Coturnix japonica: one gene and its partners. The protein of the gene in region 3 purifies or fractionates together with the protein of the main gene of each other region. This does not show direct contact. Links are inferred from orthologs where the notes say so. Each region holds a gene or a part of one and is shown on either strand. Other genes may lie near its edges. The genes, in order: fructose-1,6-bisphosphatase 1; PPM1A; TRIM47.

Region 1 (10,564 bases), on a different chromosome or scaffold from region 3:
TGCATTCTGCATTGCAGAAAATAGCTTGTTTTAAATGCCACATTATTTGACACATGCTGCATATTTGCTTCACTGACTCAACTGTCTTCCCATTACTGAATCACTGACTGTGGCAGGCAGATGGAATGCAAAAATCTGTTGATCTTAGTTTTGGCAGGATACAGAACGTACTTCATTTTTCCACATCAGCTTTAATTTGAAAATTGTACCTTTGACCTTTTTGATGAACAAATGGTTCTTACGGACAGTACCTTGTTATCCCTAAATAAACAAACAAGCAGAAGACATTCTCACCGGATCAAGCATAAAACAGTTGACACCTCCAGCAGAAGTAGCCAGTACCAGCATTGTGGCACTCCCATAGAGAGCATAACCTGCTGCCACAAGATTGCGCCCAGGTTGTAAAGCATCTTTCCCAGTAGGTTCATCAGGGGATACCTAGAACAAGGAGGAAAAAAAATTACTTCATTTTTTAAATCTGGTATGTATTATTATTGGACTCTGAGATAGGAATGTCTTCTTACTGCATATTCATGCAACACGTAGCACAAATGCTTGCATGGCCTACAACTAGGATTCCTAATGGATGTGTTTTATTGTCGTATGCATTACATATAGTGCACAAATTACATGGAAGAGACACATTCATTTAGAAATGCTCTTATATAAGCATTGTTGGAATGCAGGAAACAGGAAAGGATTAAGGCGATAATATAGAGCTGCACACCTCCTGTGTAGGTGGTGATGAACATGGCTAGAAGCAAAACTCCAAGTCATAGTTGAAAAGCAAGCAATGAAAAATGACTCATGGAGTTTACAGCTGAGCAAAATGCCTAGGGTTGCTTTTATTTTCCTTTGCTTCATCAAAAAACGAAGTGGAAAATAGTTACTTTGAGGGATGTGAGAACAAAAAATGATTAAAACAGACAGTTGGGTGTGTTTTTATCTGGCTTACTGTTTCCCCCATCTTGTGACATGTAAGTCCAGTATTTCAGGCTTTTCAGACAAGGTTTCTGCCTTTCAGAGTGAATTAGACACTCAAATGCACATGCCATATTTCAGCTCTGGTTTATATTTGAAGCCTGTCCTCAGGCTAACATTAGTATAGAGAAAAAGAAAACCTGAAAGCACATTTCACATGTAGATAACAATTACGTGGCAATTTGTCTCAAGAAGATTATTCATGAATCTAATACCAGGTAAGGGGTGACTCCTCTAGCTGACTAATTAAATATCAGCAAGGCTTCCATGTTCTTCTAATGTTCATATTCTAAGACAGTGGTGCAAATCACTTACAAATCTTTCATACAGACATCTGAAGCAGCAGATTTAACTTACAGTCAGTCCTGGAAAGACTCTTTCACAAATAACTTTAGTGAGATTTTATTAAATTTTCATATGCAATTCTATTTTACCCAAAGGTGCACAATAATAATTTTTCCCATTCTATTGGAAAGCATTTTACCTTTCTATAGATACCAAAGATGGTCCCAATGGAAACAAGGCAGTCAATGTTAGATGATCCATCCAGAGGGTCTATGCAAACTATATATTTACCCTAAAAATATAAAATGGGGAGCAGTAAGGTTAGTAACATAATTCGCTTACCTCCTACAAATTGAAGTATTCAGTAGATAAATATTCTCAAACATTCATATATCAATATAAATTAAAATGTTCTTAGAGATTATGAAGGAACATAACTTTGTAACTGAAGGATCTCTGACCTGGATTTCATTCTTGATCACAACTGTGATTGGTGCTAAAGTAGAATCTGGGGAATTCTTAAAGTAATTAACAGATGATGAAACAGCAAAGCAGGTTCTCATATTCAACTTTTTTTTTTTTTTTAAATTCATTATTTAAAAAGTTAAGTAATCAGTTTAGCTTTATATAAGAAGTTAATGCTGATCCATTTTGATAGACATCCTCTAACATCTACTATTTAGACTACATTTTCTCATTTCTAATGAAACTGTATGCTGAATTTTAAGGAAACAGACAAGAAGATCTATCTTCTTTTTATAAAGAGCTAAAACTAGAGGGATTAAAAATGACATTAAGACCTGACATTCAGAATCTATACACTTTACTGCACATTCCACTTTGAACAGCTTAACAAAGTCTTCTGCTCAGAAATTGACAGGCACTCAGAAATTACTGCAGCCAGTTCCTGCTTTTGCCCTGTGGGCTGGGCGCTTGTTCCCCCAGAGAGGAGTGGTTTCTGCCTATGGCAGTATTAAGGATTCTTGCAGACAAAGGAAACTGCCAGTACAGGGAAAACAGATGATTCCACTATGCTTTTTATGTAGCTCATTTTTCCCTTATGCTGTTCACAATCACTAATAATCATGCATAATAAATATGTTTGCATATTTGCTTCTCATTCAATTTCAATCCTGGAAACCAGAAACGTTTTTAAACTCAGAAATTCTATACTCTGCTATCATATGGGTAGAAATTCTGAGAGAAGTGACATTTATCTCACATTTTGTTTAAAAAAAATATATAATAAAATAAATAAATAAAAGCATTAACATTGAGCCTCTCTCAGTGATCCTCACAAGGATCTGTAACTGTATTTGTTCAGATCTAAAGCATATCTAAAATTCATCCGATGCTAACACAATCCATTTTGAGGGGTTCTCGGCAAAGAAGGAAAGAGACAGCTGCTTTGACGAAACTAATGTTATACTTTTTAAATTATGTTTGCTGTTTTTTTCCTCTATACTTTTTGCTCTGATTTTTTTTTTAATTTATTTATTTATTTTGCACACCAGAATATTAAGCAGCAGAAAGGAATTATGATCATTCAAGAAGGATATGCAGACCAGGAAATATAATTAAAGTCAAAAAGTTGGAATGATTTTTTGTGTTGTTGCAAAAATCTTATTTTCAGGCCTTCTGGGAGAATTTGCCTAAACTGGAGAAGTGAAGATCTGATCTGCAGCAAGTAGTCAGTGTTTTACTGATAAAGCTCCTTTACAAAAGTGCTGTATAGACTCAGAGTGCAGCTCCAGAGATCAGGAGGAAGAAACATGAAAAACACTTCCTCCACAATTAGGAAAAAAGTGGGGAGAGAAAAAAAAAAAGTGAGGAAGAACATCAGAGAAAACAAAACTAAAAATCCAGTCTTGCAAACAGAAATAGCAGGCAGGACAAATGTGGGGACAGATGAACACGTGCACCTACAGAACAAACTAACTGAAAACAGACTGTATATGTCCATATGGAAAAGTACATGTTCTCTGAAATTTTTAGCCCAGATCCAATTTCCCATGTTTGAATAGACACAGTTGTAAAGATCAGTCTGAAATAGAGTACTGAGAATTTTCAAAGTTACCAACCCTTCTGTCAGCTTCAACTATTACAGCATCCTTGTTTTCTTCAGAGACAATAACACATGTGCTGAAAGATGACTTGAGCATGTTAATCACCAAATCGTTGGAAAGGATGTCCAGCTTCTTCACCTGATCTCCTGTCACATTGGTAGAACCAGCAATCCCATACCTAAGGTAAGGCAAGTAGAGAGCAACCAGTCAGAGGAGCGCGCTGCAGCCTCCAAATCAGCCCATTTCTGACAAGTCTATGCTTGTACAACATCCTGCAGTGGAAACAGTACTGATAGATGATCTCCCAGGTTTTTGCACCTGACTTGCTGTCCAATGCATCCTTGCTAAAACTGGCTATGGTCTTAGCACGGATCACCTGTGTCATGAAAAAATCTAGAAGACACTGAAGATGAAGTACACAAAAGAGGGAATTATTTTTCAGTTGTCCCTGAATTATAGACACATATAGCCAGAGCAGGCTGTGAAGGCTGAATTACAAAACCACATTACTTTATACTAACTATAAGACCTAAATGTTGTCCCTCCATCCTATCTCCACTGTCACAGCTGCTTACTCTAATAGCTAAGATGTTGCTGGAAACTTTATACTTAGGAAGTGAATCTGACTGTGCTAGTTACATTGTAACTTCTCAATGTAGTTTGCTCTTGGTTAGTAGTTCCACGTACAAGTTCCAAAACAAACACTTTGCTCACACATAAATCACCAATTTTATGGTTCAGTGTTTTCAGCTTTTCACTTTAAGTGGTAAACATTTATTTGGGAATAAAGCTGAGAAACACAGGCACAAAACACAAATAAAGCCTTGCAAGCTAATCAGCACTACTCTATCTGACATCAGGAAGTACTGGGAAACCTTGTGACAGGCAATGTTGAAAACATCCAGAAGAGAGACCAGGAAGTTCAGCTCTCAGCAGAGAAAAGCAGGACTCAGCTCTGCACATACTGAGATTTCTCTAATGTACTTCAGCCACGATACACTGATCAGTGTGAATAATTTGGTAATTCAGGTCTTTTGCAATGCTGAACTTAGAAATACGGTGTGCTGCCTGCAGGGGACCTGTCATGACTCTATGTGTTTGAGTTTCCTCCCAGTGTTCCCAGAGCAAACACTCCTTGGTGTCAGCTCTGTTGGCTGCCACAGTCTGCAGTCATCCTCACAAACTCACAGTGCTACAAAATAATGTGGAAAAAAGAAAAACTAGCACAGTACCACGTAGCACAAAGTGGTGCTCTGACACTGAGTTGTTAACTCCAGTGAGCAGTAACCCATTGATACATGCCCTTCAGCCTGCTCCTTTGGTTTTCTGGTTCAAAACACCCACACCTTTTTGATGAAGGTCTATGTGAGGGTCAATCAGCAGCAGTGTCTGCTAAAGGGACCCAGAAGCAAGTAATACTGCCTACTACTCCTGGGAGAAGATGCTGTCCGAGTTGCTGCCGCAGTCCCAAGAAGAAGGTGGGAAGAGCGGAAAGACTACAGAGCAGCCCGATGTCTTATGGCCATCCCACCTCCCGCAGCTCCCGACTGGCAGCCCCCACCCCTGCTCGGGGCAGGGGTGTCACTCACAGGTTGGCGATGCCGGCCTTGCGCACGGCAGTGGAAATGGCCTTGACGGCGGTGCAAAGAGAGTTGAGGAGCTGCGTGAACTCCCCAGTGCCTTTCGCCCGCCGGCCCTCCTCCATCACGAAGCGGGTCATGGTAATGACATTAGTGTCGAAGGCGGAGCGGTCAGTCATGCTGCTGGCGCGGGTCGAGAGGCACCGCTGCCCAGCCGCCGGCTCTTCACTTATTCCCGAGGGCTGGACCTCGCCCCTCTGCCCGCCCCCCGCTCCGCCCACCCCCCGCTCCGCCCCTGGGGCTGGCGACGGCAGGTCTTTAGGTGGGATCCGTGCGGCGCCTCGGAGCTCTTTAAGATCCCTTCCAGCTTGAGCCGTTCAGTGGTTCAGGAAAACGTACTTTCATGTCCACTGGTCCTAGAGTATGCCCATACACGGGTCATTTCTGTGATACTGTTGTCTGTAGGAACTGACCTTGTCATTAAATAACTTAAGTCCTAGTAGTCAAGGACAGATGACTTGTGAGAATGTAAAGCTTAGTGCTTTATTTAGCACACAAGTTTTCAGACAGAATCTGCACTGTACAGTTTGTTCTGTACCATGAGAAATGGCTATCTAGCCAAGACATCTGGCTCAGTTTTTCTGCTACCTATCTAGACTATAACGTGGATATATCCTGAAGCAATTCTGATCAATTCTCAAATATGCATTCGCTAAAAGAAAACTTAGTAATTTTACCAAGTGCTGTAGTATGTGTGTAATTCTTGCCTCTTTGTCAGAACTTTCAAATATCTTAAGGCAATGCAAAAAGATCACAGAATCATAGAATGGCTTGGGTCAAAGAGATCTTTAAGATCACCTAATTCCAATCCCCCTGCTATAGGCAGGGATACCTCCCTTTAGACTACCCTCATAGTAAAGAATTTCTTCCTAATATCTAGTCTAAATCTACCCTCTTCCAGTTTAAAACCATTTACCCTCATCCTGTTGCTACCTGCCCTTAGAAAAAATCTGTTCCCCTATAGGCCCCCTCTCCCCGTAGGTCCCTTTCAGGTGCTGGAAGGCCTCTATAAGGTCTCCTCAGAGCCTTCTCTTCTCCAGGCTGAAAAACCTCAGCTCACTCAGCCTGTTCTCATAGGGGAGGTGCTCCAGCCCTCTGATAATCTTCGTGGCCCTCCTCTGGACCTGCTCCAAGAACTCCATGTCCTAGTGCTGGGGTTTCCAGAACTGGACACAATACTCCAGGTGGGGTCTCATGAGGGCAGAGGGGCAGAATCATCTCCCTTGACCTAATAGTCTCAATTCTCTTAGTACAACCCAGGATACGGTTCCCTTTCTGGGCTGCAAGTGCACATTACTGGCTCATCTTGAATCTCTCTCATCAACTGACATCCTCAAATCCTTCTCCTTAGTCCTGCTCTCAAGCCATTCTTGGCCCAACCTGCATCTATGCTTGAGACTGCCCGAGGTGCAGGACCTTACATGTGGCCTTGTTGAACTTCATGAGGTTGACATGGGTCCACTTCTCAAGTTATGGATAGCATTTTATCCCTCTAGCACTTCAACTGCACCACTCAGCTTATACCAAGTGCCTGCAAACTTGCTGAGGGTGTACTTGATCCCACTGCCCCATAGCCTACAAAGAAGTTAATAACACCAGTCCCAACACTGATTTCTTAGGAATACCACTCCTCACCAGTCTCCACTTGGATACTTCGCCACTGACTGCAACTCTCTGAGTGTGACCATTCATGCTTTGCAGAAGTCCAGGTGGATTAATGTCATTTGTTCTTACTTTATCCACTAATGCTGTAAATCCATCATAAAAGGCCAGCATGTTTGTCAGGCACGGCTTGCCCTTGATGATGCCATGTTGGTTATAAGCAGTCACCTCATCTTTATTTTCCATGTGCCTTAGTAGGGCCTTCAGGATGATTTGCTTCATGATCCTGCCAGGCGCTGAGGTGAGACTGGCTGGCCTCTTGTTCCCCAGTTCTTTTTTTTCCCCTCACTGAAAATGGGGGTTATATTTCCCCTTTTCTGGTCAGTGGGAACTTCATCAGACTGCCATGACCTTTCAAATATGATGGACAGTGGCTCCATCCACCATTTCCCTCAAAACATGGGTAAATAACAGGAGCAAAATGGGGGTCAGAAAAAGGAAGAGAATGCAAATGTCAGAAGATTCTTGGACTGCAAAACAATTTGTCTTACATCCTAAAACACATGAGAACTCCTACAGCAATCATGCTATGTGGTAAATGTGAAACTAATATAGGATTAGATGTAGTCTGTACACGTTTTGAACTTTTCCCCTAGAAATCAGTAGTTAAACATTTATTGAAAATGAATTTCTGTCATTTGAGAAGAAAGGTCAGTACTGGTTGATTAAACATTGCTGAAACTGTCAGTTCTGTATGGAAGAAAACATGGTCTTGTTTGCAAACAGATGACATCCAACTAAGCACAGAGCACAGCTGATCTAGAGTTGTAATTGTGCAAATCCACAACATTTTAAAACAAATTATTATTATGTAGAAAATGAGATATAAAATTATTCCCAGGTACTTTGTTACCAAGCTTCCCTCTTGTAGATTCAATTGACAGCCAAAAGGACAATGGGAATAAAGTGCTTTTGGAAAGGCTTCCCCTGAAGTAAGAGTGTCCACATGGGGAGGGGAGACTTAGATCCCACTTTCGCTGAGAGAAATTTTTTTTCATGCAAAAGTCTGAAAGATGTGGAAGTTTCTTTTCAGGTGGGTGGTGTGAGAGTCGGATCTAACAGTCAAGGGTGATAGCTAACAGATGGTATCTCTAACTCACTATGCCATGGTGAGTGGGACTGGGACACTGTGAAGGGGATGGCTCAGGCTTTTTATCATTTGCTTCAAGAGGTGGATCATTAGAAACTGCAGTAGTAATTACAATCCTTCAAGCTGGGGAGAGTGTCATGTGGGGAATTCTGAGGTGGGTTTATATCCACACATTCAGTCTTTCCTCTTTTTAGCTTCAGTGCTTATCTATTACATGAATTTGGCATGCTGGGCCAGCATCCCAGAGTATTTATTTATGACCGTGATAGCAAAGCACATCACATCAGTGGACACAGGTGAAATATACCAGAAGGCATTAGCATGAGAGGGATGCAATTATAAGGAAAAACCAATTAAAAATTAATATCTAACATATTAACTAGAAAATAGAATTAATTTGATACCATGCATTAAATTACTTTGCCAATTGAACTGGAAAGCTGATATCAATATAAATACTGCACTGAGGGGTTTCCAAGCTGTGCTTGTATACTGTCCTGTTGTGTTTGTACACTGCCCTCCCGTGGAAGCAGCGTGTGAGCACTTTCAGTGTTGTACTGTGAGGCTGGCTCTTCTGAGAGCACATTTGGACTTCTCTATGAGCTGGCAAAGTATGTAACATGCAGACGCTAGGTGCTGAAAACAAAGTATACATGGATCTGAAAAATAAATGTTGAATTGTAAAACCTTGTATTTGTTATTGAACCACAAGACCCTACCTTCTAAACATAGTAAAGAGTATGCTATCTGAAATTACTCATGCTACCACTTTCCATCTTATAAAATGCATAAAGTATAAAAGGTATGAAAAGCATAAAAAGCATAATTAATTCTACATCAACAAGATTCAAAAAATTGCTGCCAACCTGAAGAATTTTCAGTGCACTTGGCACAAGGTCAGTCAAATGGTAGAGTTAGTATTTTGACTCTTCATTATGCAGGAAGAAATAGATTTTATCAATGCCATGGTTACATGATGTTGTTTCTCAGTGCAACAATTAAATGGAAGAACATTGCCTTTCTATATTTAAAAAGGAAACCTGAAAATTCAAGAGGAATTGCCAGAGGTAGAACATATTGGAAACAATCAAATTCTCTGCTCAGACCCTGGTGCTACCCCTAGGGCAGATTTCTGGGCAGATGTACCATTAGTGTCCTTGCATATCTCATTGCCGGATTAAATAACTAGTTATGTCACTTCACCCCAGAGAACAGTCTGCTCAGTTGTTTCAGATTCTGTTCCACAATTTAAATGAATGTTGGCACAGGAGGTTCAGCTTTGAGGGTAGGACTTGAGCATTTGCTTGGCTTTAGTAATTTTACTTTTGTACAGACTTTCCATGTAATTGCAGGTGTTTACCAGCACAACAAGTCTTATGAAATTACAGTGGTTGGCATTTCCACCTTTGTTTGTTGTGTGAGGGGGACTGATCAGAAATAACTGTTAGCGAGGTACAGACTACAGGGAATACAAAAACATAGCTCAGCATTCACAAAAGTCTTCTTTTGTGTAAGCCTGTGAAATACATGCCCAAGAAAGGAGACTGTTAATAGCTATTCCCTGTTGCTCTTTACAATCCATATTTGGTTACATGATAAAAGTAGGCAGCAAAGCTACTTAGAATGACCTCTAACCTCTACATTTTAAAAATTATTTCTATCCGTAGTTTGCATCAATTGCCACAGCTTCTAAATTCTGATTAAGCATCAACTAATCAGTATAGTTGTCTTGTGATATAAAGAGGTAGACAGAGAAGATTGAGGAAAAGACTTCTTCCTGGTCCAGAGAGGAAAAACCTGAGTAAAAATGAACAGCTGGCTGATTATGTCAGCAATTTACACAGTATGAGAGACAGAAGAAGCAAATAGGAAAAAGAGGCACTGACAAAACAAGGGACTGCCCTTGTGACCTTCTCTGTGCTTTCCCTCTTCCACTGTTTACTTGACACTTCTTTGATGACACAGTTGCAGACTACACAGAGGAGAGAAAGGGGATGCCAAGCATATGTTGGGTCAGCTCTGCAGAAATAGCAAGAAAGTTCAGCCCACACAGATTAAGCTCCACTGTGAGGTGGTATGACTTAAGAAATGGGAGTGAGAGGGGAGTAGAAAGAAGCCTCTCCTCCAGGTCATTATACAGAATCTATTTGGTTGTGATAAGGTGAATAAACAGCAGCTTAATCCTTTTAAATTAACTTCTACATAGCAATAGATATATACAGTTATGGATAGCGATAAAATCCTGATCTGAAGTTAGGTTTTTTTCTCACAGTTTCCCATTATTGCTGCAAGTAGCCTCACTTTACCAGTGGCAGTAGTAGCAAATACATTTCCTTTGATAATACAATCTTGGACATGTCACCATTGTGTTCTATCTTTTTACACCAGGACCTGGTCTGATCTGCAGCTGGAGCTCATATGCAGTAGTACAACACAGAAGAGAAGTCATCAGGCCTGACTGATGAACATACTGTATAACTTCTTCCTTACCTTGCATGTTTTTGTTCTGATCAAACAACCCATGGCAACACTCAAATCACCTGTGTATGAGTACATACATAGGGTTGAAATGGGAAGGGTGATTTTTTCCACACTGCTTTAGAATTTAGTTTTGTGACTCATTTCAGCATTTGCTTTTCAAATGTGATGGTGCAGCTTTCTGTGCCAGTCCAACACACAGCATAAGGTCAATAATAAAAATGCAGCATGTGTTATGGGTGGTGGGAAAATGTCACATGTAGCAAATGCTGGAGTCAAGCTTTTGATTCCTCACACTGTTTAGGAAGTATATTTCAGCTTGCTTATCCTCCAGTTTCCAGGCATGCTGGATCCCCATTTGC
Region 2 (10,618 bases), on a different chromosome or scaffold from region 3:
ATTCCTATACACTGCGGGCCTAACATTCAGTTCTTACTTGGGTACAAATAACCCACCGCAAGTCCAAGAATTGAACAGATCTGAACGTATCAAGCGCTTCAAGTAACAGCTGAATGAAACTGTTCTATAAACTTCATTCTTTCGATCTCTCATTCACAGCTTGAAGTCTCAGCATCTTTGTTCCCTGCTAGTATTACCAACTAAACAGTACTCGCTATTTACAGAAAGATATATTGAAGATTTATAGAGGAATGTTTTCTTTAGTGGAAGAACCACCACTATTTCACTGCTATTTCTGAGTCAGAAAGAAAACAAAACGCAACAAAAAAGCATTTGTTTTCATCAACTTCAGCTAACCCCATTCAGAACAAGCAGAGGGTTTGAGTTCAGCCCATGCCACCATTACCCAAAAGAGGAAAGTGAAATTCTTGGGTAGCTGAACAGCTCATCGGAGGCTGACAGTCATTTAAAGGACACCACAACACCAAACACATCCATTGAAGCACTCCTAAAATGCAGCAAAACAAACCTACACACACACACGATGAAATGGTTTCCTACTCAGGAAACCAGCACTTTGTTTTCGTTTATAGTTCACGTCGTGCAGTGCTGCCAGTTGTGGTTATGTAAATGGAAGGGCAAGCCCTGCAGAATCCCACCATTTCTCTGTCATGGATGCCGTTGCCATGTTTAACCGATACCTTCACCACAAAGAACATCGTGTTATCATTGTTGTACACAGCACAAAGAAAATGATTAAATGCACTGAATCATTACAACATTTCCTCCTGAATTTCCAGCCCTTGTACCTCAAGTTGTACACGATGATACTCATCTCGTGATCAGAAGACGTTTCCATCAGGGCCATAAGTTTTCCTGCAGAGCCAAGTGCTCGATATTACGAAACAATTCAGTGTAAGGTGCCATTCTTCAGACTCTTAAATTTAGTGAGAAAGTATTTGTGGTTGCAACACAGCAACACTGCCACTATTGTGGTGAGGAGACATGAAAAGCAGCACACGAGACTTCAAACCTGCTGACTACACATGGGAGTAAAATGGGAATAAAATAGGAAATGTTCTGAAGTGCACAGCTGTAACCTGGCTTTGCTTGCAAGGAAATTACATCAAAACGATGCCAGAAGCACATTAAGATCTGGAAGTCAAATCCTCAAAGCTTAGGAAAAGCTGCAGTTTGGTATCTGCACACGCAGAGAGCTTTTATTTGACAAAGCCATTTTGCCCTCACATCCTCAGCATTCCTCTCTCATTAAAAGGACAGTAAATGAGTGCTAGAATAAAGGCATTTTCCCCCAAAGTTTATTTCAAAAAAGAAAATGAAATCCAAGGAAAAACAAAAGTCAATTGTAGCCTTTCCATGCAGACAAGAACTTCCAGGACAGCAGGCTTTCCTCTGAGAGCCCAGCACCCACCAAGCTCAGCTCTGGCGCTGTCAGTGCAGCCAGAACTAAAGGGTTACCTGTGATGGACGAGGCTCTCCTGAACCCAAACCTGAGCTCGCTGCAGTCTGAAATACCCTGCCACTGAACCGGGGTGCTGAGGAATTCATGTGCTCTTCAGAAGTTTAAGCAGTGTGAAGATCAGTATTTCCTAAGCTTAGCAGGCCTGGACTGACAGCCTCAGAACAGCTCTGTACAGACAGAGGCTGTAGTGGATCTATAGGAAGGGTCTATCCAAATCTTACTGTATTTATTAGGAAAGAAACTGATTATCTCTTAACACAGTGTCCTACAATGTAAAACTTAACTATTTTACCTCCCTACGTTTCTCTGCATTCTGAATCACTTGGTTGGTTTTATATAACTTAGCAGACAAGTGGTGAACTCCTTCTAATCATCTCCAAACACGAACAGCTTAGGCACAGATTACACAGCTTCTGTGGCTGCTGATTTTTAGGGTATTCCCTTAATCTAAAGCCAGCTGAGTGTTATGCACAAACAGCCACAATACGTGGCCATGGAGAACTCAGACTGCCATGCAAACTCCATACCAGGAGTACAGACAGTGTCAATGTTAAGCGTAGCTACAGAAAATCTTTCAAGTCACAGTTGAGACCCAAAGATGAAAGCACATTTCATCCCCTGGGTCACAACCCAGTAAGGCACGTAAGTATGAGTTACATCACACATCCAAGCAGCCCCACATAATTCAGCTGCACATTGCGTATCAGTGTAAGCACATTGAAGTGCTTTGCTTTATTTAAACTGCAGCTATCAGAACACAGTCACATTATACTTGAGTTTCTCAGGTTTACAAGTGATTTTCCTGGAAGATTTAGGACCTATTTTTTTTAATCCATTAAAATATTCTCACCTGAACCAAGAACTGAGGTGTTAGCAGTCAACAAAGTAATGGACTTTCTCCTTTATGTGCAAACTTTTAGCATTTCTCCAAATTTCAATACTGAAACCTGATCAGCCAGCTTTGTTTTACCTTCATATTAGTCCTAACATGCTCCTTTGCTAATATACTGTTCTAAAGTTTACACTCCAAACAGCAGAAGCCTACTTCAATGGTATGATTTATAGATGGAGGAAGTGTTTATTCTGTTGGTTTGGTCACATCTGAACACCTTTTTAGAAGAGCTGTTAAAAAAAAAAGCAACAAAACAGAGCAAATGTTTGATATATTTATAAACACACTTTGTTCTGCAGACTCTGGTAGCAAGCTGAAATAACCATTAGTTAATTTTACTGGTATGTGAAAACAACAACAAAAAAAATATTAAATGAACACCCGGTTAAACAAAGGCCTGTTGAGCTTAAACACACACAGAAACACAAAAACAGACTTGACAGATACCTTGAACTTAGCGTGGCTTAATAAAAGCACAGCTTGGCAGATAGACGTACAGCCAGGCCAACCTTCCAGCACTGGTTTCACACCTACAGCCCTCAGCAGGACACCACCTCTATCCAGGAACAAAAAGCAGCACACCCCCTCAATTATCACGGTATCTCACTTGTTCTCCTATCACAATTTTCTTCCTAGCCTCAAAGATTTAAATGATTCGCTCTAACAGTATTAAGTCTTAATAAATATGAAGTTCCTTCACAGATGGGAAAGGAAGCAACAAGAAGCCCCAAGGAGGTAATGCTGCCCTCACAGATCCATACCACCTATTTGATATTCATACCACCACATCATGGCTCAAATACATGAATTCTTTCTAAACAGCTCAAATTTTAGCTAAGTTCACTCCTTATCCTACTACTTTTAACTGAAATATGGATCATATGACAAACACAAGCGACACCAATTAAGAATCCAGCAACAAACCTACATTCAGAAATAGCTTAATTTCCAAAAGAAGAAATCTGACCGATGTTTAATCATCTAAGAAGAGCCACAGATTATATATATATAGATATAGATCGAGGAAAGGAGTGAGACATGGTTTAAGAGAAAGGAGGAGCAACAGTCGCAATAGCACAGTATGCAATAGCAGCAAGGCACGTTGCATAGCTCAGGTGTAGCTCTGCTAAGCTGCTGTTGTCTTGACTTCAAACAATATTATTCAAGCCTTATTAAAATGAGTTGCAGGTCTGCAGAGACAAAACAAATCTAGTTATTTTGCAGAACTTCCCATTCCAAAATTTGCTTGTTTGTAAATAACTTGTAATTATGTAAATGCACTTTGACATTAGCACTGGCTAATGTTTCTACATGAGCATCAGAGCATGTAATGACAAAACCAATATCAAAGTCGATATTTTAGTATGAAATGTGCTATTCTTAAATTACCTACATTTAGGTCATTAAGTGAAAGTAGTTCCTTTAAATTCCTAGTTCCACTCTAAAGGGACAAGTGCAATCAGATCTCATATTGACAGCTGCATTCAAAACCATACCAGTTACATAAGTTTGCAAATCACACTGTGCCAAAGTACCTAAGCTTTTTAACGACAGTTCTTCAAACGCTCTCTCAGCACGAGTGACTCAACTTCACCATATAAAACGCGCTCCAGATAAGAAGCAACCAGCTTGGTTTTATAGAAAAGGCTTTTTTTGTCTTCTGCTTTAATTCAAATTGCACCAAGTGAGCTCGGCTTGTTTAGACCTGCAAGCTTTGCCATTCCTTTGGCACTTCCATCTCTCCTCCTTGTTTCCAAAGTCTCTCAAGCTTAATTCCAGACAGCTAAGGAAGCACTTGGAAAACAGGTAGAGTTTTCTACTGCACCTCAATGAGAAACGTTTACCAGAAGACAACTAAAGGACTAAACGTATTGGCCAGAGCTAAGCTGTGCCTACCCTCTAGCAAAACACCCTTCCATCTGAAGACAGCGAGAGCACAGACCAGATGTCTCCAGTACAAACTACAGTTAGCAGAGGGTTTCATCAGATAAATGTGACTGTGAGGAAATTAGTAATTGGCATAATGCATCAGCAAGACTTTTACTTTTAGAGCAGCCCCATGTACAAAACGCACGCCCAGGAAGACAGGCCTGGAGGGAAAAGGTCTGAGAGCAGCTCTCCCTGCCCTGGTGAGAGATGGCTGGTACACCTAGCACAGCTATTCTTCTTCACTATCTCTCCTTTGATCACACAGGGAAGGAGTACAACTTCCTTGACCCATGTTTTCCTCCACCCCTTCCCTGTCTCTGATCTTATTCATAGAAAACCTAGGAATAGTATCAAAAGAAAAGCTGTCGGAGAAGAAACGTGGGTAGAACTTGCACAATTAATGCCTGTTAATTTGGCAATTCACACAGGGTCGTGAGCACAGCAGTTACCTTTAATTTCATGGGGGGCTTCATGAATCCTTCAGCAGCCACCTGGGCACTGAAGCAGTACGTGTAGAGAATAAGCAAAAGGTCACACTGATCCTATCTGCAAAGTAAGTTCCTAGAATCACAAGGGTTAGAACTTCTCTGCTTCACAAGATGATTCTACTTACTCTGTCATTATCCATCATGATCTATGGAAAATCGCCTACCACCAAAGAGGACAGAGCTAAAGCCTGTTGCTCACAGGATTTCATTTAAGACTGCCATCTGCTTCAAAGGAGGAAAATAATTCTTCAGCGTGACACACGCAGCCTTATGGTGACCACACAACCACCATTTCCTCATCTGACAAAAGGTACGGCGCAAAACTAAGTTCCTCACGAGCACTAGGTGGTTTTGCAACAGCAGGATTTTGCCATACCCGTGGCACGGCACTGAAACATTTCAACGTGCGCAAAACAAACACGCAGATATCTACGAGATGCCTACGAAATAGGTTCTGAAACGACGACCCAGCCCTGTGCCTTCCTCAGTCCAAGGCAAGGCCGGAGGCTGGATGTAGCTCTGGAGCGGAGCTTCGTAGCACCGCACAACTTTCAGCTGCGAAGGCTCCATCTCCGCAGCCACACCGCAACCTTTGCTCACACGACGTCGCTTCCAAAGGCGGTGAAATAAACCTCCTTCAAAGTTTAAAACGCCCTAAAGGCGCCGCCGAGGGGAACCCACCCGCCGCATCACGGCAGCGCTCGGGGAGCGCCCGATGCTCCGACCCTCGCTGTAGGGTGGGGTGCTTTATAAATAGATGCGTGCTTTTTTTTTCCCCCCTCTCTCTATTCCCCTCCCAGCGCCGTGCCTCAAGCATTTGGGTGGCGATGGGAGAGGAGGAGGCTGTTTATAGCCATTATTAAATGAACTCTGAAGCGGCCCAGGGAGGGGGGAGGAGAGGAGAGGGCAGCGCGCTGCTACCTGCGCCAGGCCGCCGCCTGCGCCCCAAGCCCAGCGCCCAGCCGCACTCAGGGCCCCTCAGGTCGCCCCCCCACCCGGGATGGCGCCTCACCGCCCCCCTCAGCCCGGCCCCGCACCACTTACCCCCTCCGGGCCGCGGCGGGGACGGCACCGGCTGCGGCGGCGAGGCACGGCCGCGCTCCCGGCGGTGTGTCGGGAGGGGAAGGGGGGGAGAGCAGGGGAGGAGGAGGAGGATGAGGAAGGGGGGGGCGGCCTCGCCTCAGTTCATTCACAGGCGGCGGCTGCCGAGGGCGGCTCGCTGCCCACGGGGAGCCCAGCGCTCATCTCGCCTCCCGCTCCGCTCCGCTCGGCCGCCGCCGACCCCCCCCCTCCTTGTCCCCGCTCCCCTCCCGAGCTCCGCGCCCACCCGCGCAGCGCCAACGAGCGTCTCCCCGCCGCGCTCGCGCACGCACTGCACAGCCACCGCCACCGCCTCCTCCTCGTCGCTTCTGCGCATGCGCCGAAAGAGCGGCGGGGAGGGGAGGGGGAGGCGGGAGCGCGCTCGTAGTACCCGGATGTTGGGGCTGCGAAGGTGGGGGCGGGGAGGTATTACATCACCCTGAGAGAGCGAACCGCGCATGCGCCGGGCGGGAGCTCGGGGGAGGTGACGTCATCTGAGCGCCGCCCCCAGCGCTGAGGGGAGAGATGTGGGCAGGGGGCTGAGGGGGGTCGGGTCATTCCTACACCTCACCCTGATGGTCATGGTGTGTGGATGCAGCCCAGGATACAGTTGGTTTTCTGTGCTGTGGGGACACACTGTTGGCTCATATGGTCCTTTTCTATGGGGCTGTGCTCTGCCCTCTCACCCCAAAAAGGAATGGTTGAAGTAGGTACTTAGTTAAAGAATCAGGAAGGTTGTTGAGGTGGTTTCTGTATTTGACAATAATACGGAGCTGTATGTGAAGGTTTCCCGTTGGAAAAGTGCTGGTTGTGCTTCTGCTGCCATTCCTGTAATGATCGGCACGGCTTTAATCTACATGTGCCAGCAGCAGGAGGCAGTTAATGGTGGATTAATTGAGGATTCTTGTACAGGCAAGGCCTATAGAAGCAGAGATGTAGAGGGCAAGGAAAGCTGAAATTAATGTAACAAAACTGCATGGTTGCAATGCTTCTCCAAAGGATGGAGTTACTGCGTTTCAGCATGACTTCAAAATCTGCAGTCCCCATTGCTGACTGGAGTGGAATGGTATGTTCAGACTCAGTCCTACAGTATTCGTTCTAGTCATGTTAGTGTGAGCATGAACAACACTCAGTAGCACTTGGTATTAACTCTTTCACTCCCTTAAGTTGCAGTGAAATACAATTGTTTTGTTTGGAGTAGGATTTGGATCAATAATCATCTAAATATCAAACATATTGGTGAACTAATGTCCAGGCTGCCTTGAATCAGTGGTGGAAATCAGGCACATACAGATAATCATTCCTTTCATGCTTACAATGGTGTCTAAAGCAGCTTGGTCAGTTTCCCTGCTGAAGGTGACTTTTCTCTCCTGCAGTTTCTCTGGATGTAGATGAAGGTGAGATGACAGCCCTGACAAGATTCTTAAATTTTCTGATGGCTCAAATTAATTATTTAGAGCTTGTCTAACGTAAATCTTTATACTCGTGTAAAGCTTGTAATAATCTTGAACTTGCCAGACACTTACGCTTGGCCCTACCTCATCACTTCTCCAGTGGGCTCTGCCTATTTTTAGAATGTAAAAGCCAGCAGGATGACTGTGCTGCAGGCTTTGCGTCTTCTTAGTACTGTTACTGCAACACCCTGGTGTAATGATGTCTGTAGGTACCTGCTGAGGCAGCTGTGCCATTGGGAACTCCATAAAATGCCAGTGCTGTAGCTATGATTAATAGTCACACGATGTTTAAGTCATCAAATGCACACACCATCCTATATCCAAACTGGATGTATCTGAAAGATGTCACAAAGACTATGAATGTTTGAAGAACACAGTATACAAAAGCCCTGTGCTCTTTAAGTGCAGCAGTTCTGATATGATTTACTTTCTGCTGGATTCTTGTAGGGGGCTAAACAAACTGACATGCTTTGCCTCCTCAGAGAAAAAACATACTCTCCATTTACAGGGTTTTCTGTTTGTTTTTGTTAATTAAAAAAAAAAACATTTTGTGAAAACAAAAACTTGTATTTTGCAGCCTACAAAATCATTATGGCATTGCAGTGTGGTTTTCTGATTCGTGCTTAACAAAAAGAAAGCATTTCTCACCGATTCTGTTCTTCTACTGAGAATTTACTGATGGGAGTAACATGCTGTTCTGGAAAATCAGCCAAAGTAAAGCACTGTGAGACTCAAATATCAACAGAGGGAAAACCATTTTTACTCTGAAAATTAATATGAAGGTTTATTATAGAATAGTTACTATTTTTCTCTCCTCTTTTTTTCTTCAGATCTTCATATTCTATTTATAGATTTCTAATTTGTCAGTACTCATCAGATATCACATTTGCAATGATATTCCAAATACAAATAAAAAGCATATTTTTAATATCTTTTCCATTATAGCTATTGATTGGTGCCTACTACTCAGTAAGGCAGGTGTAGGCTAATAAGTTATGTCACACCTGTGCTGGCTGGGAGGATTGTGCTGAGATATGGAACGTGGTTGGTTTTCCCTGCAAAACTTGGGTATGAAAAGCTTGGGAGCTGCAGCCTTGAGTAGGAAACCTGTATAATAAAGGTTTGTTATACAGGAAACCTGAATAATAAAGATTTGCTCTTGAAGATTATAATTCAGTTGCTCTGTAGAATATTTTCCAGATTTAATAGTAGCATTGGACAGGACTTTGGCAACTGACTGACTATATGAGCTTAAGAAGCCTTGTAACATTCCCTCAGTCTTCCTTTTCTTAGAATCTTGCTGGATGTGTCAGAGTGACAGCTGTGATTCTGAACCTTTTGTCCTTAGCTAGTACTAGTTTTCAGTGTACAACACAGTTTTTGAACTTCCTAAATGCTTTTTTTTGTTACATGATGTAAAGACCAGGTTTAAGCCTGGCTTAATGCACTGGAGTTGGAAGGGACCCTAAAAAGCCACTGCACCAAATTCATGATAGTAGGATGTAAATGATGGTCTCATTGAGATCACCTGCTTTACTCTTCAGCACAGAAACCGTGAAATGGCTTAAAGTGATATTAGTAAAAAACTGAAAGTGATTTAAAATGTATTAAATTCCCACGTGACAGGTCTTAAGCACAAATATTTTCCACGGTTCTTTTCAGTCTGAAGGGTTCATGCTTTATTGAATCCCCATTTGTCAGTGTACAAGATGTACAAGATGTTTTTGTTAGTTGCTGGAACTTGAATTTTCTAGAGGTAGTTTTATTTTTACCTGTAAGACAAACTGTGAGTTACCCAACAATCAGAATATTTTATCACCCAGGCTTTAGGCTATTTCATATATCGGATAGTTCTCCCGATTTAAAAATGTAAGGGTACATGTGAGTTGCTGTTCTCGTTTGCTATTAGTAGTCTGTGCATGAAGGCCTGTATCCTCACTGAAGTCAGTACAAAGCTTCCATTGACCTCAGTGTTGCAGGATCAAACCCTTAGTCATTAGCATGTTGTAAAAACGGCTGTTGTCTCAGTCAATTTCAATGGGCCTGGCTACAGTTGTTAGTTGTTTAACCTAAAAATTAGCTTAGCAATTACAGTTGAAACTACATGTCAGACTGTTGATACACAGGAATACATCATCCTGAGTCATCAGGGCTTCAATGATGCTCTTAGACTTTTATAATTATTAATGTTCAAGTGAGAGATTCTGAAATTGAATAAAGATTGGAATTTCCAGATGTGAAGGAGATTCATATTCTGTGAACTTTGCCTTATTAGTCCTTTTGTTCTATAAACAGCCGTATCTAGTTGCCTTCTTCACACAACCAAAAAGCTTACTTCTTCCTGCTCCCATTCACATAAGTCTGTTCAGTCAGTTGTCCCTTTCAACAAACAACACAACCTGAGGCACAGCTGGGAAAGTTCTTTTGTGCGTGTTTTAATTAGTTGCATCAAACTGCAGTTGATCTAAAACCAACATGTCAAAATCAAATAGCCAAGGTTTGGAGACTGTGCAATCTGAACATTGCTCGGTGTTCTGCAAGATGGGTTTGTAGAGTACCAAGGCTTCTGGAGAATCCAAGGTTTAAATGATATTCTGATTCATGCCATCTAGGCCCATTTTAATTGATAGCTTAACTGAGGTTTCACTTTAGTTTCATTACATAAGCGTAGACATGGTGTGTCTATAAGAAGTAAGACTTCATACTTACTGGCATAAAGGACATCATAAAAATAGACAAGAGATCAAAGCTACGTGTGATGATGACTTCTATTAATATCAGTTTCTCGCATTTTTATGACCACCCCCAGCCTCGTGCCAGTGTTATATTTCTTTGAGACGGAGCAGAAGAAAACATTAGCAAAGCAATAAAGGCAATTATTAAAAAATAAACCCACAACTCCATGTTGTTCAGTTCAAGCTCAGTTTCAGGAGAAACATATCAGAAAAAAAAAGATGATCTCATAAACTGGGACACATTAGTTTATGCTTGAGTTTTATTTTTTTGTAAAGCATTCAAGATATCCATTGCAAATAATGTGGTGCAGTTTCATATCAAAGTATTACTCACAACATAGACGGGACTTGGAGATGATCCAAATCTCCACCCTGCTGAGATGGGATTCTTCCTTCTCAGGGAATTTCAGTTCATCCAATAGATTAAGAAAGAGTCCAGCTACTTCTTAAGAGATTTGGTCATCTGATTTTTTTTAGGTGTTTGAAATACGATTGCTTTCTTGCTTGTTTTCATTCATTGCAGTCTGTCACCTATGTATTTATTTAGTATTTTATAT
Region 3 (10,503 bases):
TGATCTTATGTTGGAAAGGGTCCGACTGGGCCTTCCCAAAGGAGCCAGCCTTGAGCTGCTTCAGGCACGTCATTTTGGAGTCCTTGACTCCATAGAAGGTCAAAGCCTTCTCCGAATACTCCAAGAAGACCCCGATCGTGTGGAAAAATGGCTGCTGGATGACAGACTCTAAGCCACCGAACCAGGCAGCATAATTCTGCCCGTTCCACTGCAGGCAGCAGGACCACGTGTTGCGGCCCAGGCGGCTGTGGTCATAGGAGTCCTGTGGATTGAAGACCTCGGCAATGACGCCGATGCTGACCCAGCCATCGATGAGCTCCACCTCCCAGTAGTAGTTGCCCCGGTTCATGAGGTTCACACCCAGCACTTGCTCGCAGTTGATGAAACGGGTCGGGCTCTCTGGGTAGGGGATGGGGCAGAGCACCCGCTTGGCTCCCTTGGTGCCAAAGAGCTGGATGAACTTGTCGGCCGTATCGCTGTCCAGGTCGATGATGAAGGCAACTGTATGGGGTGAGGAGAAGACAGGAGGATGAGGAGAGAGGGAATTCCCCCCAGCCCACCCTGCTCCAGCACTCATAATTCCCATGATCTTTTTCTGACTCTGTTCCTGCAGCATCCTTAAGCCATCACCCTGTCCTCCTCCTTTTAAATCATAGAGCTGCAGAATCACAGAATGGCCTCTCTCCCATCTCCTGCCTCATTTTAGACCTTCCTTTTCTCCTCCCCTTCCTTACCACCGCAGCACTCCCTGCACAGCCCCTAGATTCCCCCTCTGCATCACACAGTTGATGCTGACCAGCGTCTGGCCCAAAGCAGATGCACCAACCCTGATCTAATTTAACACAGGATTCAATTCTCTGGAAGGAGAACAGCATTATTTATACTGTGTGCTCACAGCCCTGTGGCAGCTGCTCTGGCAGAACCACAGGCTGGGGAAAAAAAAAATCACCTAAATAGATTATGGTCGTTGTCAGGAAAGCAAGGAGACTTCCTCGTTAGCTGAGCAATATTTCCTCTGGCACATAGCAATGGGGCCAGGGCCTGTGGGATGGAGGATGGACCATAGCAACAACTGTCAAAGCAAAACCCCATCACTTACATTTCAGGAAGTACTCGCGGCTCTCCAGGCAGGCGGGATTGTTTGACTTGTCTGGAAACGAAGACTTGGTCATTGCTGGGGAAAAGAAACAGAGACAGAAAGGGTTTGTCACAGCAAAACTGCTGCCATCACTTCTGAAGCATCATCCCTGAAGCCCCCCATTGGTATCCAGAAAACTGAGGGACAGGAAGGAGCTCAGCCTAAGTGAGAGCACAGAAGGGAGCATCCCAGCCCTCCAGCCGCTGTGGTTTCTAACCCTGCAGCTCAGGGAGCCCACAACCTGCCCAGTGAAGGGAGCTGCCTGTCCTGGGAAGGAACAGTCCCCTTTCACAGCTCTTTGGCCCCTTGCCCCCTCCCACAGGGCCGTGCCTAGCTCTCAGGCTGTTTGTTGCCTCTCAAGCCTTTGGTCTCCGTGGAAAACTTCATAAAACCTCAAGGAGGAGGCGTTAGCCCAGACAGTGGTTGTGCAACCATGCCTGGGAGATGGGCCAGCGCTTCCAGGAGCCCCAGAGCCCACAGGCATCTTCCCAACCCCGACAGGAGGATGCACCCTTGGGCTCCCCACATGGGCATGGGGCCAGGTGGGCACAGACCTTCCTCTGCCTTCGGGAAGCTCATCCCATCCACTCCTTTCCCCTGCAAACAGTCCCACTGGCTTTTGCGGGCAGCTGACAGAGCATCCTTGACGGCACAGACGGCTTGGGAGCACTTGGTGAAGTTGAGCTCTTTCTGGAAGCTCGGAGCCGGAGAGAGGTTGTCTTCCATGGCTATTTTTAAGGCTTGAAACTCCTGAGCCAAAAAGACAGAGTTTCAGGAGGTTTCAAACAAGCCGAAGCTGCCTCTTGTTCCGCAACCCCACCCGGCCCCGGAGGATTTGGGAACTGGCAGCCTGCAGGACTTGGCCCCAAAGCAGCCTTGCAGAAGGGAGGAGGGCGGCCACGTGTCCTTGGCTCCTTCTCCTCGCTCTCTTTTAAACCCAGGCTCAGGCCATGCCCATCTGAAGAGAAGCATCTCCTCTGCAAAACATTGAGGAATACTGCAAGGGGCAGCGGGGCACCCCATCCCCAAGGCTAGGTACCGAGCCTGGGCTGCAGTGAAGGTGTGGGTGATGGAGGACAAAGCTATGGCAGCCCAGCCCAGCCCAGCAGCAAGGAGAGGATGCTGCAAACAGGTGGGGGACCCCACAGCCTCACAACCTTCAGCTCTGTGTGACAGGGGACCAAACCCAGCAGACAGCACCTGCTCCTCCTCCTCACCTCCGTGCCCACCACGCACCTGAAGGAAGTAGATGGTGTCGGTGCTGGGGACGTTCTCCAGGTTCTGCTTGCCCTGGGCCAGCTTGGCTCGCCTCTCCTCCTTCCAGCGGAGATCAGCCTCGGCCTCCCCCAGCATGGAGCGCTCGCTGTCCTCAATATAAGCAGCCACCTCCTTCTGGAAGGTGGCCAGCAGCTCCGAGGCTTCTGCAAAGAGCTTCTCCACCCGATCCTTCTCCTTGCTGGCTACACCCTGAGTGCGAGGACAGAGGGGTCAGCATCACTGGAAGCAAAGGAGGGGGCACCCAGGACCCTCCCAGCTCCCGGCAGTGCCCCATTAATGGAGGAGGTCCATCCCTTAAGGCACCTTAATGAGCTCCACCATCTTCCTGGTCTGTGCGATGGTGACAGCCAGCTCTTCCAGCTCGTTGTCCACACTGCTGAGGAATTTGGCTTGCTGAGCCTGCAGACACAAAGGACGAGCACTGAGCTCCATATCCATAGGAAGCAGAGCACGACAATAAACCCAGACCAGCTGCAGCCCCCTCCTCCCCAAAACCATGGTTTTGTTATTGGGTATATAGGAATGACCAGTTACCTTCCCTATTTCCTCCCTGTGCAACCCTCTATATCCACCCAACCAAGCTGCAAACATCCCTTCTGCATGTTCAGCAAGGTGCTCAAGGCTGGAAAAAGCTAATTGGGACCAGTGCAGGAACTCAGCACTGCATTAATTCCTGGGATATTTCTTGTACGAGCAAAGCAAAACTGCTCAGGAGCATGAGGTGCTGCAAAGGAAGCACAGCGCTTCCTGATGGCTATTGTTAGCCCCAGCCTGCTGCCCACCATGGGGACAGGCCCCTTGGGAGCCTTTTGGGAGCATCACGTGTGTTACTGGGCTGACCTCCTCCAGTGCTCAGCCTGGGGAGGTGGGAGAGGAGCTTTTTCAGTCCCTCCTTCCCACCCCACAGACAGCAGCGACACTCAGCAGTGCCTGTTGAGGAAATAGCTTTCTATTTCAAGGGTCCTATGACTAATAGAAGGGCTTCCCCATATCCCCAAGAGCCCACGAAGGACAAGCAGCCAACCTGGGGCTGCTGCTGGGTGTCTGCATGGTACCCAGAGAAGGGGGTCACCCCTGAGGTCCCCCATGGCCCCACAATGAGACAGGGATGCCCCCACGCTGCCAACCTGGCAGCTCCATCTCCCCGCACTCGGAACCACAGGGAGGTTTCGTGGGTGAGAAGTTGGGAGGTGACTCAGCCACATCTGGGAATGGGAGTGACGGAAAAAATCCCTGCTGCCAAAAGGAGCAACACAAAGGGCTCATGGAGCGGGAGAGGCGGGCGGGCAGCCAGCCAGGGAGAGGAGAAAAACTGCCTTGATGGAGCTGTGGGAACCAGACGGGGAAGGCAGGCACCCTGTGGGGGGAGCTGGGGGTCCCTTGATGGCTGCAGCACTAAACCCACAGACAGGGCAGGACTGACTGTAGTGCCCCAGCGATGGGCTGTGGGGTCCCACTGCGCCCCATGCAAGCAGCCCACCTGCTGGGGTGAGATCCCATGTGAGGGTGGGATGCAGCGCCCACCCCATCCAGGGCATCCCAATCACCCACATGGGGAGATGCACGCAGCCCTCACCCCCATAACACAGCACCCTGCTTTATTCCCTGACATGGTGCAGCTCCTTGGTGTGGGGGGGCCCAGGTGCTCTCACCCCCAGCCCCAAACCTATAGGGACCGCAAGGTTGGTCCATCCTCCCTATTCCCTTTCCCCACCGCACGCATAGGGCACCGTGCAACCCCTGTGCCAGGCTGAGCTCCTCCACAGCATCAGGGTTCCCACTCAGAACCACTATTACACCCCTCGACCCTCCCTGCCGCCCACCCTTTGCCCCCCACGCACCTCCTTGAGCTCCCGCTCCTTCTCGAGGGTCACCACGTCGTGGCCGCGGTGCTCGTGGGTTCGGCAGCGGGCGCACACGCAGGTCTGCTCGGCCCTGCAGAAGCCGTCGAGGGGCTGCAGGTGCCGCGGGCACAGCCCTTCTTCCAAGCGCCGTAACGGGGCTACGAGGCGATGAGAGCGGAACGCCGGGGAGCGCCGGTGGGGCTCCAGGTGGGCACCGCAGAAGGACGCCAGGCACACCAGGCACGAGCGGGCAGCCGCCGCCCGGCTCCCCTCGGGGCACACATCGCACAGCACCCCCGAAGCCCCCTCCTCCAACTCCGCTTCTCCCTCCGGCTCCTCTTCTGCCCCCGGCGCCATCTCGGTGGGTGAGGACGCGGCTCCGGGGGGTCCCGTTGTGCTGAACCCGGCGCTACCGGGGGGGGATCCGGGCCCGGGCTGAGGGGATGCGATGGCCGGGGGGGTCCGCGATCCGTCGGGGGACGACCCGGCCCCTGCGGCCCCCAGCAGCGGCAGCACCTCGCACAGGGCGCGGTTCTTGCTGAGCCTCAGAGCCGCCGGGAAGGGCTCCTGGCACAGCGGGCAGCGTGCCGCCCCGCCCGCCGCCCCGTCGGGGGGGCCCGTCCTCCCTCGGAGCTTCCCCAGACAGCCCTGGCAGAAGTTATGGCCGCACGGCACCGTCACCGGGTCCTTCAGCAGATCCAGGCAGATGGGGCAACCGAAAGGACCGTCGGGCAAACCCGGCACGGCCAACGCCAACCGCAGAGCCGCGGCGGTGGCGGCGGAAGGCACCGGCTGCGCTCTCCCGGGCGCACCCTCCATCCCGATGCGACCCGACCCAGCGGCCCCACCGGCGCTATGGGGCGGTCGGACACCGCGCTCCGCCCGCCCGCTCCGCCCTCTGCCGCCTCGGGGTGGGGGGATCGGGGCCTCCTTCCCCCCCCACGGGGATCCGGGAGCCGTGAGGAGGGGTCTGCGTTCTCCCCTTGCGAGTGGGTGCCCCGTGTCTGTGTCACTGTGCCCATGGACCAAAAGCGCCCCGTCCATCCACCCCATCCATCCTTGGGACGGACCCATCTGTCCGCCAAAAATGAGCTTTCTCCTTCTAAACCTTATTTTCCCCAAAGGGAACAAGCGGAACTGATTCTCTCCCCTGCTCAGCTCCAGCACCTTTGAGCCCAGTGGCCAATTTCACCCACTTACCAGCATCCCCAGGGATGAGAAGCTTCAAAGCTTTGAGGTTTTATTCTGGGTCAGATCAACCTTGGGGCAGAGACATAGGAAATCACGTTTCCCTTTTCTCTGTGCTGCTGTAAACAGAGCCATGACTATTTCTGCTGCTGGACATGCAGGAACAGAGGCACCCAGCTCAGCCCCACCTGCACTGAGGTCACACCAGCAGGAAATCAGAACTTTATTGGGGTAAACAGCTTCTTCCAGTGAGAAACGTGTCACCCCAAAAGGCAGCTCTGCCACCTCCAAAGCAGTGTGAGGGGGTGGGGATGGCTGGGAGCACAGGACCTGCCTGCAGCCCCCACACCTTCCCATGGGCTCTTCAAGCCTCATTTTCCTCCAGGTCAAAAGGCAAAAGGGAATCCCATCTCCACATCCCATCTGCATGGGAGCACAGCCCCCATAAGTCCCTATGGACAGTGATTGGGGTCTCCATCCCTGCTGCAAGAGCATCACCATTACCTGTGTGCCTTATTCCCTACCCAACATGTCACAGCCCCAGCTCTCCATCATTGCCCTCACAGTCCCTGTGGCACAAAGTGATGGTGCGGCCCTCACACAGCCAGAACACGGGGAACAGCGGCTCCGTGAAGACGGTGTGGAAGGAATGGATGAGCTGCACCTCCTCCCCGAGGCCATAGAAGGAGAGCAGCCCACACTCATAATCCAGGCAGACCCCCAGCTCGGTGTATGGCCGCAGCTGGATTTTCTCCTCCTGCCCCTTGTGCCGGGCGACGTAGCTGTCCTCCCTCACCTGCAGCCCCCACGAGCCGCCATCCAGCCCAATGTTGAACTTGCAGCCCTTCACTTTGTGCCGGGAGAGCCCACCGTAAGTCACCCCCAGCACCACAGAATGGCTGGAGATGGTCACCTCCCAGTAATGGCGGCCCTGCCCGTAGCTCTGCACACACAGCACCTGCCAGGGCTCGAAGCGATGGCTGCGCTCCTGCCAACCTGCAGCGGTGCTGGGGCCGTGCTTGGCTCTGCGCTGAGCACACGACAGCTCCAGGTACTTGTTGGCCGTGTCGGGATCGAAGGTGAGGTTTCGGTGATCTGGGGACAGCAATGACATGGGGATGCTTCAGCACAACCCAAAGTTCATGGCAGCCCCCACCAGAACCCCCCTTCCCCCTAAACAGATGGGTTTGAGGAGGAGATATGGGGTTGTGGGATTTACTGACCTGGTCCCATTGGCTATTCTGGGCTCCTGGCTGCTGCTAATAAATGTTGTTGGTTTTTCTATTAATAACACTGAGAACAGCTCATGCGACTCAGTGGAAGAAACCCTTATAGGTCCTGTATGCACTGATTGCCTTGCTGGGAAAAGCAACCTGACCAAAGCACCCTAAATATTACAAGTATTTGGGTTGTTTTTTTTTCAGCAGGGAGGAGATGGGAAAGGAAGCATTTAGGAAACGGTCCCTAAAGGAAAAGGGAAGGGGCACCAAGGGCTGAGTGTGGGGTGGGCACTGGATCAGCCCTGCACACCCCTCTGGGTGCTGGCACTGGGACAGTGCTGCATCCAAATCTGGGGCATCGGGAAGGGTGGGAATGGGGTGAGATCAGCAGGGGCTGACCCCATAGCAGGCACTGTGGGAAAGCCATCCCTTGTGCTGCTGCCCCCTACTAAGGAGCCTCTCCCCAACCCCATAGTGCTGCCCCAGCCCTGCAGCATCCCCCCCTCCTGCTCCTCACCCTTCAGCAGCTCAGCACGCAGCCGGCACTTGGGGACAGGGCTGGACACCACCTTCATTGGTGTCTCCTCGGGCTGCACCGGGCCTGTGGGTGACAGGGACAGGCATGGAGGGTGATGTCACCCAGCTGCTGAGGGCAGAGGAGAAGGGAACCCCATTGGGTGCACATTTGGGAGTGAGCAGCAAGGAGGGGACACGCAGGAACCACCCAGCCCCTCCTGTACCCAGATACCTGCCCTCATCCCCGTGTGTCCCAGCACAGTCTCAATGGCCAAAGTGAGGTGGAGGCATTTAGGGCAGCCTGAAGCTCACCTGGGGCAATGGGGTCAGGTGCTTCAGGGGCACTGGGGCTCAGCGAGGCAGGCAGCTCCTCCAGCAGCAGCCTGGAGGTAGCAGTGAGGATCTCGCTCATGGGTTCCATCACAACAGCCACGTTGAACTCCACCAGCGGTGGCACCTCCATGCTCTGCAGGGTTGGGAGCTGCAGGAACTCCTGCAGATGGACACACAGATATCAGGGGAGATGTGACAGCCCCCAAACCTGCATAGGCAGCCCCAAAATGCCCATTCTCCATCCTTACGGGTGGGATTTGGGGTGTACCAATGGTACCTTGAGGAAGGTCTGATGGTCAGTGCAGTCCATCAGGTGCTGTGCCTGGTCCCGGTGCTGCCCAAGAGCCTCCAGATGATCCTTCAATGCATTCCGGTCCTTTTCTATATGTCCCATAGCCACTGACTCCTCCTGCTTCACCTTGGCTACCATCTGCTCCCGGAACTTGGCCAGCGCTTCCTCCAGGTGGGTAAATTTGCTCAGGATCACAGCTTGGAGCCTCTCAGAAGAGTCCTGCAGGGATGGAAGGCTGTGAGGTGTGGAGTGCTCCCACCCAGCCCAGCCCTGGGGTGGCTGTGGCCTCACCTCGATGCTCTGTGCCCGCTCCTCCAGCTCCCGCAGCGCCTGCTCCATCCTCTCTGCTTCTCTCTGGGCTTCTTCCAGGGACCTTTCCAGCTGAGCCTGCGGAGGGAGGCAGCCCATACTGCAGCCCCTTGCCCCCAAGGACCATGTTAGGAGCAGGGCAGGCTGCATTCCTTTGCTGCTTCGTGCCTTTACACCCCTTTTTTCTAAACCAAAGGGATCACAAACGTCACACAACGGGGCTCCCCTTGTTCTGCCTTTTGGGGCGCCCTCCATGCCTGACAGCCACACAGCTCAGCACACAACCCCCCCATCTCTTCCCCACCTGCTTCCTGGAGCGCACGTCTTCAAACAGAGCCGTGCGGTGCTGCTGGCACCTCCGCACGACGCACACGCAGCAGATGCAGCGCTGCTCATCCTCACAGTACAGCTCCAGCGGGCGGCCATGCAACGAGCACAGCCCAACATGGGCCACCTCGCAGCCCCCTGCCTGCACCCTGCCCGTCCGTGCCAGCTCCACCACGTCGCTCAGCGTCACGTTCTTCTTCAGCTCCAGATGCTGCTCGCAGCTGTAGCGGCACGTAGGGCACGTGTAGCCCCTCTTGGGCCCGTTGACCGCCTGCTCCTGTTTGTTCCTGTGGTTGTCGATGCAGTGCTCGCAGAAGTTGTGCCCGCAGGGTAAAGTGATGGGCACCACAAAGAGCTCCAGGCAGATGGAGCACAGCAGTTTGTCCTCCAGCTTCTCCGAGGTGGGGGAGGCCATGCTGAGCTGGGGATGGGGAAAGGAGCAGGAGGGTTGGAAGCGGCCTGCAGAGCAGGAAGAGATGTGTGACGCTGAGCATAGGGGCGGGTCAGGGCTCTGGGCCAGCAGTACCCTTAAAGTGACACCCAGTGGGTGCAGCTGCCCAGACACAGCACTGCAGGATGCAGGAAATGCTGCACTGACAGCACCATGCAAGGGGCTAACAGGGCTCAGAGCAAGGCATGCCATTGTATCCATGCACTGGATGGGTTTTGCACTGTGGAATGATGGAATTGCACTGTTCTGTGCAATTCAATTTCACTCTTTCATTTGTCAATCGTTGCTCCTTGAGAGAGCATCTGTCAGAGCAGCTGCTTGTCCTCCTTTCTGCAGTGATAAAGGCTACAACCCAGCCAGCCCAACCTCACATCTTCCCTTATTATGCAGCTCATGCTACTCTCATGTGCTCAGGCACCGCTGCTTGCAGAGCAAGGTGGGCATTCCCAGTCTGCTCCTTGCCTGTTTTCAGTGCACATCAGCAGGGCTGAGCATTGAAACACAACACAGGCATCAAGGCAATCAGCCCTCATTCAGCTGGAGCCTGCAGCCTAAAGGGACTGCACTGCCCTGCACCAAACCCCCTCTCCTTGTCTTCACATCGCTCACTTGCTCCCAACCTCTCATTGCACTCCTTGTCTGCTTGCCCTTGCAGGCCCCTTATTGCTGCACACACGTTACTGGAGTTAAGCTGTAACAGCTCTGCAACCTCCTTGCATGCTGTTGCTTTGTGCTCACCCCTCAGGACAGCAGCAGAGCACCCTGCAGATAATGGTGCTGAGCAATGGCAGCAGGTGGGCACTTCCATGCAAGCTCCTTTGCAGGCTGGAGGGTCTTAGGATGTGTCTGGGGAGTTATTTAGAACATGAAAGTGAGAGATTGCACTGAGGTCGCTGCAAAGCAGAGCAGAAAGCATGGACTGCAGCAGTGCCAGCTCTGTCTGTGCTCCATTCATCCACATCTGGCACAGGCTGTGTAGGGAGTGAGGTGAAGGAGACTGATGTTCATGTGCTTCAGCAGCCATTAGGAGAATCCAGCCTCACAAATGCTGACCTTGTATGTCTTCACCACCTGTGTAGTTGTGCTCCTCCCTCCTTACAAAGCCCAAGAAGGGAAGGAGATCCAGTCCAGAAGAGCTGTGCTTCTCCACAGAGCTCCCCCAGCTCTGTACCACCTGGCTGGTACGCCAAGCTCTTCCCAATAAAGACAGGTCAGCATCACCAACATCACTCAGAGTATTTAATCTGATTCATTAATCTGAACACAGAAATGAAAGCTGGCATAGCCCTGAACTGCAGCACAGAAAGGGGAAGGAGATGCAAGTTGGCCTGGATTGTTTGTTTCATGGGCAGGTGAAAGGAGAACGGTCACCCTTCCAGAGAAGCAAGGCAGGGCATCTCTGGTGGACTCTGTCTTGCTGCTGCTACTCATCAGCTCTGCTACAGAACCAGTAGCGGGATTTCAGCCTGGATGTGGATTAGTTTTCATCCACGAACGTGCTCTGAAACAGCCTTTTTCCCTGACAGCTGCCAGCACTGAATGCCTGTTGCCCTCAGCCGCATGCCTTCCAGCAGAGCCAGCAAAGTGGAACTCAGAGCCAAGGTGCT

The links.
Region 1: the proteins of TRIM47 (region 3) and fructose-1,6-bisphosphatase 1 purify together in Homo sapiens (affinity purification with western blotting; 3 studies listed by BioGRID). This does not show direct contact. The link is inferred for Coturnix japonica from reciprocal best matches to the Homo sapiens genes TRIM47 and FBP1.
Region 2: the proteins of TRIM47 (region 3) and PPM1A purify together in Homo sapiens (affinity purification with western blotting; 3 studies listed by BioGRID, with this or other methods). This does not show direct contact. The link is inferred for Coturnix japonica from reciprocal best matches to the Homo sapiens genes TRIM47 and PPM1A.

What each region holds. Positions count from the first base shown.
Region 1 is NC_029547.1:37,637,471-37,648,034, forward strand, and holds the start of fructose-1,6-bisphosphatase 1, read right to left. Parts: upstream 5,146-10,564; 5' UTR 5,092-5,145; coding exon 4,922-5,091; intron 3,511-4,921; coding exon 3,348-3,510; intron 1,559-3,347; coding exon 1,466-1,558; intron 439-1,465; coding exon 295-438; intron 1-294. UniProt on the Homo sapiens protein: Catalyzes the hydrolysis of fructose 1,6-bisphosphate to fructose 6-phosphate in the presence of divalent cations, acting as a rate-limiting enzyme in gluconeogenesis. Plays a role in regulating glucose sensing and insulin secretion of pancreatic beta-cells.
Region 2 is NC_029520.1:49,579,609-49,590,226, forward strand, and holds the start of PPM1A (protein phosphatase 1A), read right to left. Parts: upstream 6,193-10,618; 5' UTR 5,837-6,192; intron 1-5,836. UniProt on the Homo sapiens protein: Enzyme with a broad specificity. Negatively regulates TGF-beta signaling through dephosphorylating SMAD2 and SMAD3, resulting in their dissociation from SMAD4, nuclear export of the SMADs and termination of the TGF-beta-mediated signaling.
Region 3 is NC_029533.1:4,022,438-4,032,940, reverse strand, and holds the start of TRIM47 (E3 ubiquitin-protein ligase TRIM47), read right to left. Parts: upstream 5,413-10,503; 5' UTR 5,335-5,412; coding exon 4,258-5,334; intron 2,816-4,257; coding exon 2,720-2,815; intron 2,606-2,719; coding exon 2,375-2,605; intron 1,889-2,374; coding exon 1,693-1,888; intron 1,175-1,692; coding exon 1,100-1,174; intron 502-1,099; coding exon 1-501. Other genes in the region: TRIM65 (tripartite motif-containing protein 65), read right to left, coding at 5,981-6,543, 7,186-7,269, 7,497-7,677, 7,795-8,028, 8,101-8,196, 8,423-8,860. UniProt on the Homo sapiens protein: E3 ubiquitin-protein ligase that mediates the ubiquitination and proteasomal degradation of CYLD.